2 linked regions of the Arabidopsis thaliana genome follow. The protein of the gene in region 1 interacts with the protein of each later gene in a pairwise test. Each region holds a gene or a part of one and is shown on either strand. Other genes may lie near its edges. The genes, in order: CAC2 and AT3G56130.

The links.
Region 2: the proteins of CAC2 (region 1) and AT3G56130 interact in a two-hybrid assay, tested with the Arabidopsis thaliana proteins (one large-scale study listed by BioGRID).

The regions. Positions count from the first base shown.
Region 1 is NC_003076.8:13,582,264-13,589,027, forward strand, and holds CAC2 (acetyl Co-enzyme a carboxylase biotin carboxylase subunit), read left to right. Parts: upstream 1-1,842; 5' UTR 1,843-2,036; coding exon 2,037-2,084; intron 2,085-2,181; coding exon 2,182-2,525; intron 2,526-2,602; coding exon 2,603-2,744; intron 2,745-2,885; coding exon 2,886-2,984; intron 2,985-3,075; coding exon 3,076-3,132; intron 3,133-3,335; coding exon 3,336-3,407; intron 3,408-3,770; coding exon 3,771-3,860; intron 3,861-3,996; coding exon 3,997-4,056; intron 4,057-4,361; coding exon 4,362-4,547; intron 4,548-4,631; coding exon 4,632-4,724; intron 4,725-4,802; coding exon 4,803-4,884; intron 4,885-4,972; coding exon 4,973-5,079; intron 5,080-5,294; coding exon 5,295-5,370; coding exon of another isoform or gene 5,371-5,374; intron 5,375-5,524; coding exon 5,525-5,571; intron 5,572-5,659; coding exon 5,660-5,722; intron 5,723-5,798; coding exon 5,799-5,900; 3' UTR 5,901-5,957; coding exon of another isoform or gene 5,958-6,005; 3' UTR 6,006-6,067; downstream 6,068-6,764. Other genes in the region: AT5G35370 (S-locus lectin protein kinase family protein), read right to left, coding at 6,301-6,764. UniProt on the Arabidopsis thaliana protein: This protein is a component of the acetyl coenzyme A carboxylase complex; first, biotin carboxylase catalyzes the carboxylation of the carrier protein and then the transcarboxylase transfers the carboxyl group to form malonyl-CoA.
Region 2 is NC_003074.8:20,824,938-20,830,021, forward strand, and holds AT3G56130 (biotin/lipoyl attachment domain-containing protein), read left to right. Parts: upstream 1-1,638; 5' UTR 1,639-1,914; coding exon 1,915-1,948; intron 1,949-2,208; coding exon 2,209-2,382; intron 2,383-2,685; coding exon 2,686-2,756; exon of another isoform or gene 2,757-2,912; coding exon of another isoform or gene 2,913-2,963; coding exon 2,964-3,017; coding exon of another isoform or gene 3,018-3,021; intron 3,022-3,200; coding exon 3,201-3,467; intron 3,468-3,566; coding exon 3,567-3,629; intron 3,630-3,713; coding exon 3,714-3,782; coding exon of another isoform or gene 3,783-3,794; exon of another isoform or gene 3,795-3,861; coding exon 3,862-3,907; coding exon of another isoform or gene 3,908-3,969; exon of another isoform or gene 3,970-4,002; coding exon 4,003-4,070; 3' UTR 4,071-4,333; downstream 4,334-5,084. Other genes in the region: AT3G56120 (S-adenosyl-L-methionine-dependent methyltransferases superfamily protein), read left to right, coding at 1-219, 332-430, 526-669, 951-1,057, 1,198-1,272, 1,364-1,420; AT3G56140 (DUF399 family protein, putative (DUF399 and DUF3411)), read left to right, coding at 4,470-5,084.

The sequences.
Region 1 (6,764 bases):
ATGGAAGAGGTAAGAAAATATTATTTGATAAATATATCACAACAATTATTTTGTTAAATATTACATAAATAAAATGACACACGAATATTATCGAAAATAGTCAAATATCCAAAATAGATAATAGAGATAGATCTTTTCAACTTCATTTCCTTGCATGATGGTCAAAATTGATATTTTGTTACATGTATCAAGACTTCCAGTTTACAAAGGTGAATTTGAACTAAAATAAATATGAAAATCAAAGAAGAAATAAGTATAATCTAGTAACACAATATAAATAAAGGGTTTTGTGCAAAAAAAACTGAAATTGTATATTGTTGCAGCTTTACCCTTCACGTTAAAAAAATGCAAATAATCCTATAAATTTTAAAAATAATGCGAAATATAGCCATTTTTTTGCAAATTTACATATATTGTAAATATTTTCATGATCACATACATTTGTTTTTGAATTAGACTCTTCCAATATAGCAATCTATTGAAGAAATAAGTATTATTTATCAAAAAATTGAATTTTTGACAATAGCAAAAAAGTTAATTTGCGTATTATTTTGAAATTCATAAGTATTTTGCATTTTTTTATGTGAAAGATAAAATTGCAAAAATAGACGAATTTGAAAGTTGTTTTTGCACAAAACCCAAAAATAAAATACAACAATATAGGATATATAGATCATAGCCTCTAAAAATAAATTTAAAATTAGACTCTTCCAATGATGTTTCAACCCATATAACAACAGAAAAGCAAAACAAAAATATTTAAAATTTGAGATAGGTTCGAAGATGATTATCTTTGGAACTTGGTTTTCTTGATGTATATGATTAAATTTGGTGCATATGTAATTAAGTGTGCACTGGACCAATAAAAAACATTGAAACCTTATATAATATATCTTCTTATGACACATTATTATTTAAATAAACAAACAAACAAAACTTTAAAAGCGTTTGCGTTCAGCGTTCAGCGTTCAGCGTTTGCGTTCGACGTTTAGAGTTGGCACAAAATCCACCAAATTAAAACCATTCAGGCGGAGGATTCAATATATCTCACAGTTTCACTCTCAACATTTCAATATCTCTCTCTCTCTCTGTGAAGAACAAATACAGCGTTTCTTCTGCGATTAGATCTATTTCGATACTCACGAGGATTGCCTCCTGAGGAGACTACATATACTAAACAAAATACAAGCTGAGGAGACTAAATATATTTAGTTAATACCAATAATATATGATATACAACTACATATTTACAAACAAAGAAAATATAGTAGATTTGTAATATATACATAATTGAGATTTGATGATTGATTAAACCAAGAATACCGTGCGTAGCACGGGTACTGACATAGTATGTGTATTATTCTGAACTTCATAAGATTATTTTTCATTTTTGATGTGAAAGATAAAGTTGCAAAAATGGTCGAATTTGAAGGTTTTTTGCACAAACCCAGAAATAAAATAAAACAATATAAGATATGATCATAGCCTCTGAAAATAAATTTAGAACTAGACTCTTCCATTGATGTTTCAACCCATATAACAACATAAAAGCAAAGCAATAAGTTGAAAGATGATAATCAAAATTAAAAAATGAGTATCTTTGCAACTTGGTTTTCTTGATGTATATAATTAAATTTGTTACATATGTAATTAAGTGTAAACTGGACCCATAAGACCTTTTTCATCCTTGTAAGCTTAATGGGCTTTATCAATATAATGTTGGCCGACAAAAAAAAAAAAAAAAAGACCCATAAGAAACATTGAAACCAGTCTGGCCCATGACCCATATAATTTATCTTTAAAAGAGTCTGCGTTCCACGTTTGCGTTCCGAGTTTGCGTTCCGTGTTTGCGTTTAGAGTTGGCACAAAATCCACCAAATCAAACCAGTCGGGCGGAGGATTCAATATCTCAGAGTTTCACTCTCAACATTTCATTCTCTCTCTCTCTCTCAACAATTAGATCTGTTTCGATAATCACGAGGTTTCCCTCACTTCCTTTCCATTGCTAAACCAGGATTTGCCTCCTGCATTTGGAAATGGACGCTTCTATGATTACCAATTCCAAATCCATTACTTCTCCACCCGTAAGCACCAAAACGCTATTAATTTGAAATTCGTCAATCTCTGTTTCTCTGTTTCTCTGTTTCATGTCTCTGAATCTGTTAAATCTGTTATATGAAGTCTTTAGCCTTAGGGAAGTCAGGAGGAGGAGGAGTTATCAGAAGTTCACTATGTAACTTAATGATGCCAAGCAAAGTTAACTTCCCTAGACAAAGAACTCAAACTCTAAAGGTTAGCCAGAAGAAACTCAAGAGAGCTACTAGTGGTGGTCTTGGTGTTACATGCAGTGGTGGTGATAAGATTCTCGTAGCGAATCGAGGTGAAATTGCAGTTCGTGTTATCAGAACTGCTCATGAAATGGGGATTCCTTGTGTTGCTGTGTATTCTACTATAGATAAAGATGCTCTTCATGTTAAATTAGCTGATGAAGCTGTTTGTATTGGTGAAGCTCCTAGTAACCAGTCGTAAGTGTGGAACAAAATGATTGATCTTGTTGTGTAGAGAATGAACTAGTGTTGAATTCTTGTCCTTTTGTGTGTAGGTATTTGGTGATTCCGAATGTTCTGTCTGCGGCTATTAGCCGTGGATGTACAATGCTTCATCCTGGATATGGTTTTCTTTCGGAGAACGCTCTCTTTGTTGAAATGTGTAGAGACCATGGGATCAATTTTATTGGACCTAATGTAAGTGTCTTATATCTCTTCAAAGACTTTATAGACTTTGCAGAACTTCATTAGTCTCAGTTCAGCCCTAGCTTTCTTTTGTTGGAGAGAAGGAAGATTTCAGTATCTGATTTATCGGTATTTCGTCTTTTCTATCTGTAGCCTGATAGCATCCGTGTTATGGGAGACAAAGCGACTGCAAGAGAGACAATGAAAAATGCAGGGGTTCCCACTGTACCAGGGAGTGATGGGCTATTGCAGGTATTTTTTTAGATTATCAGTTTAGTATTTCAAGTTTTTGCATGTCAAGAGAAGTCTTGGGATTTGAATGTTTTATTTTGTCTTATTGCAGAGTACAGAAGAAGCTGTCAGGGTCGCCAATGAGATTGGTTTCCCTGTAATGATCAAGGTAATATTAACTTGATTGGATTTGGAGTTAAATTTGTATTTCATACTTTCTTTTATGTAACCGATAAACTGGATTCTCAAAATTGGTCTGCTTGAAAAGACACAAATTTAAGTATGTTTATTTTATGCTCAGCTTGTCTCCCTGTACTTATTGATATGCTTATAGTTACAAAAACTGACTGTTCTCACTTTTCTGGTTTCAAGGCAACAGCTGGTGGTGGTGGACGTGGAATGCGTCTTGCTAAGGAACCGGGAGAGTTTGTAAAACTGTTGCAGGTATGACAATCATGTAAATCTGAACCAACAATTCCTCTGATAGAATTTTTAATGAGTCCAGGGATCAAGTTCTCCATAAGCATAATTGCAGTATTGTCACAGATTCTTTATTTCTTTCTAACTCAGACAATGTAAAGGTGTAATCTCATGATGTTTGCCACATTTCGAAATTTAGACAACTGTATAGTTGTGAAAGCTGGAAGTGTAGTAGCTTAAATCTAGTAATACTGACCATTGATATCAATTAAACAACCAGATTGTATGCTTTCCGCTTGCCTTTATAGTCACAGTTTTCTTAAATGAAAATTCCACAAAAGATTCGACTTCCCTTTATTGAACTTGGCTTAATTTTTTTATCGACAGCAAGCTAAGAGCGAGGCTGCTGCTGCTTTTGGGAATGATGGATGTTATCTGGAGAAGTTCGTACAAAACCCTAGACATATTGAGTTCCAGGTATGCATTTTATCAGGAGAAGTTGTTCAAAACAGTTGAGGTTTTAGCAAAAGATGATTCTTGTGAGTTGATGGTCTAGTGATACACATTATTGATCCCAAAGCCATATTTTCTCTCTGTACCTCTTGTATTTCAGGTGCTGGCAGATAAATTTGGAAATGTTGTTCACTTTGGTGAGCGTGACTGCAGCATCCAGGTATCTTCCTCTTAGGTTTTTTATAATTTCATTACCATCAATTGTTGCATAGTGCTCCAAGAATAAATGTAACTGAATATATGAAAACAGGAATAAATTTACTTCAGCCTAATTACTGCACTTGCATGTCATATCCCAGCTGCATGATCTGCTAAACTGATTTTTTCCTGTACTAATTGCTAAGATAACTCGAACTTCGATACTAGTTCTCAGAATTTGAGTATACCTCTTGCTGCTTTCTTTCAATTCTTGTATGACATCTAAAACCATCTGGATCATTTAATTATATCTTCCCCTGACAACAGAGGCGTAACCAAAAGCTTCTGGAAGAAGCACCTTCTCCAGCATTGACCGCTGAATTGCGAAAAGCCATGGGTGATGCAGCAGTCGCAGCAGCAGCATCCATTGGGTACATTGGTGTTGGTACTGTGGAGTTTCTTTTAGATGAGAGAGGTTCCTTCTACTTCATGGAAATGAACACTAGGATCCAGGTTGAATTTTATTATGACTGCTAAGTATATTTATAAGCATCTGAAGTATACTGAATGCGAACCATTTCTTGAATCTAAACTCAGGTGGAGCATCCTGTGACAGAGATGATTTACTCTGTTGATTTGATAGAGGAGCAGATTCGTGTTGCAATGGGAGAGAAACTTCGTTACAAACAGGTTTGAATAGTGTTGTATATGATGTTTTGAGTGGATACCAAAAAAGTTATTTCAAAATTTAATTTTGTTTGTTTACAGGAAGATATTGTGCTCAGAGGGCACTCAATTGAATGTCGTATCAATGCAGAAGATCCATTTAAAGGATTCAGACCTGGACCTGGTATATTTCAGTAGACTTTTATATGTTAACGTCTTCGAATTTTAGCAGATTGGCTTTCTTTAAAATAACGTCACTCTTACAACAACAGGCAGAATAACATCATACCTGCCATCTGGAGGTCCTTTCGTTAGAATGGACAGCCATGTCTATTCCGACTATGTTGTGCCTCCAAGCTATGATTCTCTTCTTGGGAAGGTAATATCTGTCTTTTACTTTCTCTGGATAGCCATTTAGTATCTGTTTGGTTATTTAGGAACAAATTTTGTGGCTTCATGGTAAAATAATCACTCGGGTGTTTTGGAATCTTAAACAAATATTGGAAAAGTCTTCCTGGTGTTGTTCATTTGCTTCTATAGCAGCAGCTTACTGGAACTTATAGCTGATGTGTTGACACACTAAATCTCTTGTAGCTTATTGTGTGGGCTCCAACGAGGGAAAAAGCAATTGAACGGATGAAGCGGGCGCTTAATGACACTATCATTACAGGTATGTCGAGTACTACTTTTTGTTAATTCCATATTGTTTATGCTTCTTCATTGTCTGTTTTGTTTTTCTTTTATTCTGTGTAAGATGTGACATTTCGTTACATTGGACATCTGGTGGAATGTTAAATCAAATTTCGTTTTCTTGGTTTCATCAGGGGTTCCAACGACTATCAATTACCACAAACTTATCCTTGATGTTGAGGTGTGTGAAATAAGTAAAGCTATAGTTTAGCGAATTTTGTAATGAAAATGTTGGTTTTTTTGTAATCCAATTGTTGTGTTGGTCACAGGATTTCAAAAATGGAAAAGTTGATACAGCTTTCATCGTCAAGCATGAAGAGGAGCTAGCTGAGGTAAATTCGAATGTCTCTGTGGTCGGCTAAAGACACAGGCCATTGGATGTATTCATTTTCAATGCTTCTAAGTTAGTGGGATATGAAGCCTTTGGTAAAGCTGAACATAGAGATAGGAGAATTGCATGAGAAGAATGAAACTATATATAGAGGAAGACAGATTAAATTGTGTTTGTAATAGTAAGGTTGGTTAAACCAAATGGTGGGTTCTAACATGGTTATATTGTATATGCAGCCTCAAGAAATTGTGGCAGTGAAAGATCTGACAAACGCAACGGTTTAGAATGATACATCAGCTCTGAAAGACCACCCAATTATTGCAATCTTCGTCTCCTTTTGTGTGTTCATTGGTACAAACTTCGGTAACGATAAGACTGTTTTACTAGAGTCTGTGGTTTTATCAATGTTCTTCTTGTATCATAAACAAGAGGAAACACTTTTGTTTGTAGTCTCTATGTCAAGATTTTTCAATAATTTTCATATATAGTAGAGATTATATGAACAAGGCCTATCACTATTAACAAAGTAACCAAAACCAAATAAAACAAAAGACAAAAATAATTCACATTTAGGTGATCTCATCGCGGGCCGGACACTTCCTGAGACGCTATGTAAGACGCAGACTGCCTAGAGCCGCCACTATTAGAGCTCTCTCGCCGGTGGAAGACCATAGTTTCACTCTCCCCATTTTGTCCTTCAACCATGGAAGACTCCGCAAACCTCAGCCCATAAAACCTCAAGAAGTTCAACGACTCCATCCTCGGGTTCCCCAACGGTATACTTCCTTCGAACATACCCACTACCGCTGCCATTGTTGGCCTCAATGCTGGCTCCTCGTGGACGCAACACAAAGCTATCCGAACCAACTTCTCAGCCTCTTGGCTCGTTACCCGACCCTCTAGCCTCGGATCAGCGAGCTCCATATACCTCCCTTGTTCATGCATATCCAAAGCGTACAATGGGAAATACACCAAACCAGTACTAGTGGTCGTAGTCGACGAGTGGTTCTGATTATTATCCTCCGTCACACTGTTGCTCCGAG
Region 2 (5,084 bases), on another chromosome or scaffold:
AGAAAGGATGCTTTGTGTATGCAAATGATTTAAATCCAGACAGTGTTCGGTACTTGAAGATCAATGCAAAGTTCAATAAGGTTGATGATTTGATTTGTGTGCACAACATGGATGCTCGTAAATTTTTCTCTCACTTGATGGCGGTGTCAACTTGCGAGGATAATTTGCAATCAGTGGCTGATAATGATAAAACAAAGGAAGCAGCCGTGAGTCGAGGAGGTAGTTCTTTTGGTTTAAACTATTTTTTTGCATTATAGTTGGCATATTTGGTTTTACGAGAGACAAAAAATAACTTTACCGGTGGGTTTCTGTTTACTTTGCTTAATCATAGGTGAGACTAATTCCAGTGGAGAGGAAATACGTGAATCCAATGCAAGCATAAATGAGCCTCTTGGTGCAAATAAGAAGCCATCTGGTACTACAAAGACGGGTAAGAAATGCCTCATAAAGATTTCTCCAAGACATTGTTTTAGTTAATATTGCCTAATGCCTGGGGATCCTCACCAGTATGTTAATTGAGTGCAGAAAATGGGGTAGGAAAAGACTGCAAGAGTATAGAAGGACACGCAAATAAGAGATTGAGACAAACGTTGCTTCCAATCGCAAAGCCGTGGGAACATATCGACCATGTTATTATGAACCTTCCAGCATCTGCCTTGCAGTTTCTTGGTATGCTATCAATGATTCTTTATTATTTTTGTTCAAAATTTGGGACTAGAGTCTTGCATATACTTGCAAGGCATTAGAGTTTCATCAACTATCAACTACATTCCGCATCAGCAAGTTAATTAGGACCAGGACCAATAGAAATAGGAGATGCATCATGTATTAAGGCTTGTTTGAAGAGTTATGTGATTGGCTCTTCAATTTCAGTTAGAAGTAAGAAAGGAAGTCAGGATTTGTTTTTGTCACACTACTAATGCATATAAGCTCTGTAATTGTTTTTGCAGATTCGTTCAGTAATGTTATTCAAAAGAAGTATTGGAAAGGACCTCTTCCATTAATTCATTGCTATTGTTTCATCCGTGCAAGCGAAACCACAGAGTTTATAATTGCAGTAAGTATCAACCGCTCCCCTCCTGCTTGTCCCTTCTAGTTTTGTTGTCTTCACTATATCATATCTTTGTACCAAAGATCTGGTAGCGTTTTTCTGCGAGCCTTTAAATCTGATATACAGCTTCTGTTGATATTTTTAAGGAAGCTGAAACTGCTTTGAAGTTCCATATAGAAGATCCAGTCTTCCACAAGGTTAGAGATGTTGCTCCAAACAAGGTAAGATCCCACTCGTCTGTTTTTCTTTTTGATATATTATCAAAACATAGCATCTGTAGTTCCTGAGCTAGATTTCTTTTGTACTTTGCAGGCTATGTTTTGCCTAAGCTTTAGACTACCTGAAGCATGCTTGAAGCAAGAAGAGTAAAAGACATTTCTAGGAAAGAAAGAAGAATCAAAAAACGCATTTGAAATCTTTTCTTTTTGCTTTTGGTATTGTTTGTTTGATTCCATGGCACATAGAGTCAGCTACTGCATAAGTTGATAGAAAATGGGGACACTTAAATTTGCTTAATAGTATTTAACAGAAGCTGAAGACTTTTGATAAAATTAATTGATGAAAGCATATAAGAGAGATAAGAATATGCCTTTGTTAATAATACTACATTTTCAGAACTAAATTACGCCTTTTTGTTAGTATACCGGCGCATGTTAGCAAAGGAAAGTGACGGACCGTAGTGTAGTAGTAGATGCGGCGGACGGAGTTACCAAAGAAGAAGGCCGCTCAAAATAATTAAATTTGTTCAACCGTCATCTTCTTCAACTGATCTTAGCTCAACTAACACACTCTTTCTTCTTGGCGTCAATTCAATCAACCAAAACCTTTTTCTCCTATCTAGCTCACGCTTTCTTCTTCTTCCAATGGCGTCTTCTGCAGCTCTCGGATCTCTCCATCGTGAGTCTCTTGCTCTCTCACTCTCTGCGTTTTACTTATTCTGTTGATTTCATGAGGATAGGAAAACTAGAAATGGAGGACCATGAGTAAAATTTCGGAAATGAAAGGCATAGATTGGAGCTATCCGTTAGTGACGTTGTTGCTTCTTAGAGTGTAATTTAGCGACTTAATTAAGTTTCAATCTCGGATCTTGTGTGTCTAATTTGTATCAAGAGATGTTTCAGCTAGAAAAAGTGAATTTTATTTGTTCCATTTTACAGAGACTTTAGGGTCAGCCATTAATTCACAGAGTGAGGTTCACTCGCTTTCTGGAAACTGGTCTGCCTCTGGTAATTCATGTGTGCCACGGTGGAGATTATCCAACAGGAACAGCAACTACAGGCTCGTGTTACGTGCTAAGGCCGCTAAATCTTCGACAACAACCATAAGTGATGGTGAGTTTATCTTCCACAATTCTTCTTCATGTTCATTTTGCTGGTTAATGCCTTTTTTTACTATCAGGCTTGTCTCATCACTTTGCTAATACGATCCATTGGCCAAAGATGGTATTAATCTGTTTTGCTCTTAAAGGAACTGGAACTGAAATTCTTAGTCTCGTTTGCTCTTAAAGGAACTAGAAATGTAACTGTAAGCCTCGGTCTTTTACCAGCTGTCTTGGAACCAGGAGATACAGTGATGTGATATTGGAACATTTTTCTTTTATTTCCTATGACTTTTGCTTATTTTTGGCTTTGCAGGTTCATCTGATGCTAGTGTGTCAGACGGGAAGAAAACAGTTCGACGGATAACTTTCCCGAAAGAAGTGGAGGTTTCTTCCTTGCCTTTCATGGGTCTTAGATATTAGGTTCTTTAATTTATAAGTTTGGTAGGTGATGATATGACGATTTCCTCAAATATGCACTTTCTAGATCGTCAGGATTTTGGATGCATAACTTCAGGCAATCTACTCTTATAATTTTTAATCATGACGTATGGATGTACCTTTCTTTATATGTTGTTAGATGAAATGTTGCAGGCACTGGTTCACGAGATGTGTGATGAAACTGAGGTTGCTGTGCTGCAACTTAAGGCAAGTCTCTCTGCCATTAGTTTTAACTTCATTATTATTATTATTTGTAAACTTTCTTTGAGGCTACTACAAAGACGAGTGCATTTTACTCAACCAACAATATGGGGCTAAATATCACTGATTTGAGATAATAGAATGTAGGTTCCAACAATTAGACTCTTCTGAAGCTTTCTTTTGCTACAGGTTGGAGATTTCGAGATGAACCTAAAACGGAAGATTGGAGCAGCCACAAACCCCATTCCCGTGGCGGATATATCTCCAACTGTAGCGCCTCCTATTCCTTCTGAACCTATGAATAAATCTGCTTCTTCGGCTCCTAGCCCATCTCAAGCAAAGCCTTCCTCTGAGAAAGTGTCTCCATTTAAGAATACATCATATGGGAAACCAGCAAAGTTGGCTGCTTTGGAGGCATCTGGATCCACCAACTATGTGTTAGTCACATCTCCCGCAGTATGAGATCCATTTCCTAATTAGTGGTTGCTTTCATATCCCTTAATTTCTCTGCAGTTTTCTTGTTTGATTTGATCTTGTTTCTTCTCTTACCAAAAGGTGGGCAAGTTTCAGAGGAGCAGAACTGTAAAAGGAAAGAAACAATCTCCTAGCTGCAAAGAGGTAAACGACTCTAAATTCTTTTGCATCTCTTAGAACAAAAGAACAGAAATAAGATCAAAGAGCTAAGTGAAAAAAACTCCTTAGGGTGATGCAATAAAGGAAGGCCAAGTTATTGGATACTTACATCAGTTGGGAACAGAACTTCCAGTGACGGTAATATCTTAACTAATATATCCATCTCTTCTTTGAAACTATCTAATCAGACTCATCGATCTTGCTATTTGTCGAGCAGTCAGATGTAGCTGGAGAAGTCCTTAAGCTTCTTTCAGATGACGGAGGTAAACATTTGAGTATTCAAACCGTTTCATTTAGTATGAACATTCAGAAATTATATAAGTGAATTGATATGAACTCATGCTTCGTGTGCAAACAGACTCCGTAGGTTATGGAGATCCTCTGGTTGCAGTCTTGCCATCTTTCCACGACATCAACATCCAGTGATGATGGTTTCTTCAGCCCAATTCCATAGCAAATGAATAGTCTTTCATCCGGAGACTGTACTATTCATCTTCTCCTGTGTTTGTTCAATGAAGATTTGTAATCTGTTTAGTTGCAAAGAGTCTACTTTGATCTTGCTCTCATCATTTGTCACGTAATGTGGATTTTCTGCACCAGAGAAAAAAAACAATTGTGGAATTTTTATAGAAATGACGTGGCTATCTTATCTTCTCCGATCATCAAATAAAATCAAGGCTCAAAAATTCAGAAGAAAATTGACGAATGTTTTTAACAGTGAAGGAAAATATTAAAATTCTTCTCTTATTCGTATCGGTCTTAGCAATGTATGTAATACGCTGACGTGTACAAACGGAGCTCTCTTCTCAGCTCTGGCCTCTGAGAATGAAACTCACCACGAATGATCTCTTCGCTTCTCAACCATTATTTCACTGCCCTTGCTCCTCCTCCTCCCGTCCTCGCCGCCGACGTTTCTATGGCCTTCATTTTCCGATCAACCTCACCAGCGAGAAGAACAATTCTCTATCCATTGTTGCTCTTTCTGATTCCGATCTTCCATCACGAACCGCCTTCTCTCGCCGCGCTTTTCTACTCGCGCCACCACTTCTAGTCTCGGCTGCTTCCTTGTTTCTCAAACCGTCTGTCTCTTTAGCCTCCGAGGAGAGCTCGTCCGCTACAGTAACATCGCCTGCGGAATCAGCAGCTCCTCCTCCTCCTCCTGCGACCACAACACCGTCGCCGCCTCCACCCGTGAATAAGGAAGAGACGATAACCTCGAGAATCTATGACGCGACGGCCATTGGTGAGCCGATGGCTATGGGAAAAGATAAGAAGAAGGTGTGGGAGAAGCTGTTGAACGCGAGAGTTGTGTACCTCGGTGAGGCGGAGCAAGTGCCTACCAAAGACGACAAAGAGCTTGAACTCGAAATCGTTAGAAACCTGAGGAAGAGATGCGTTGAGAGCGAGCGTCAAATCTCTGTAGCACTGGAAGCATTCCCT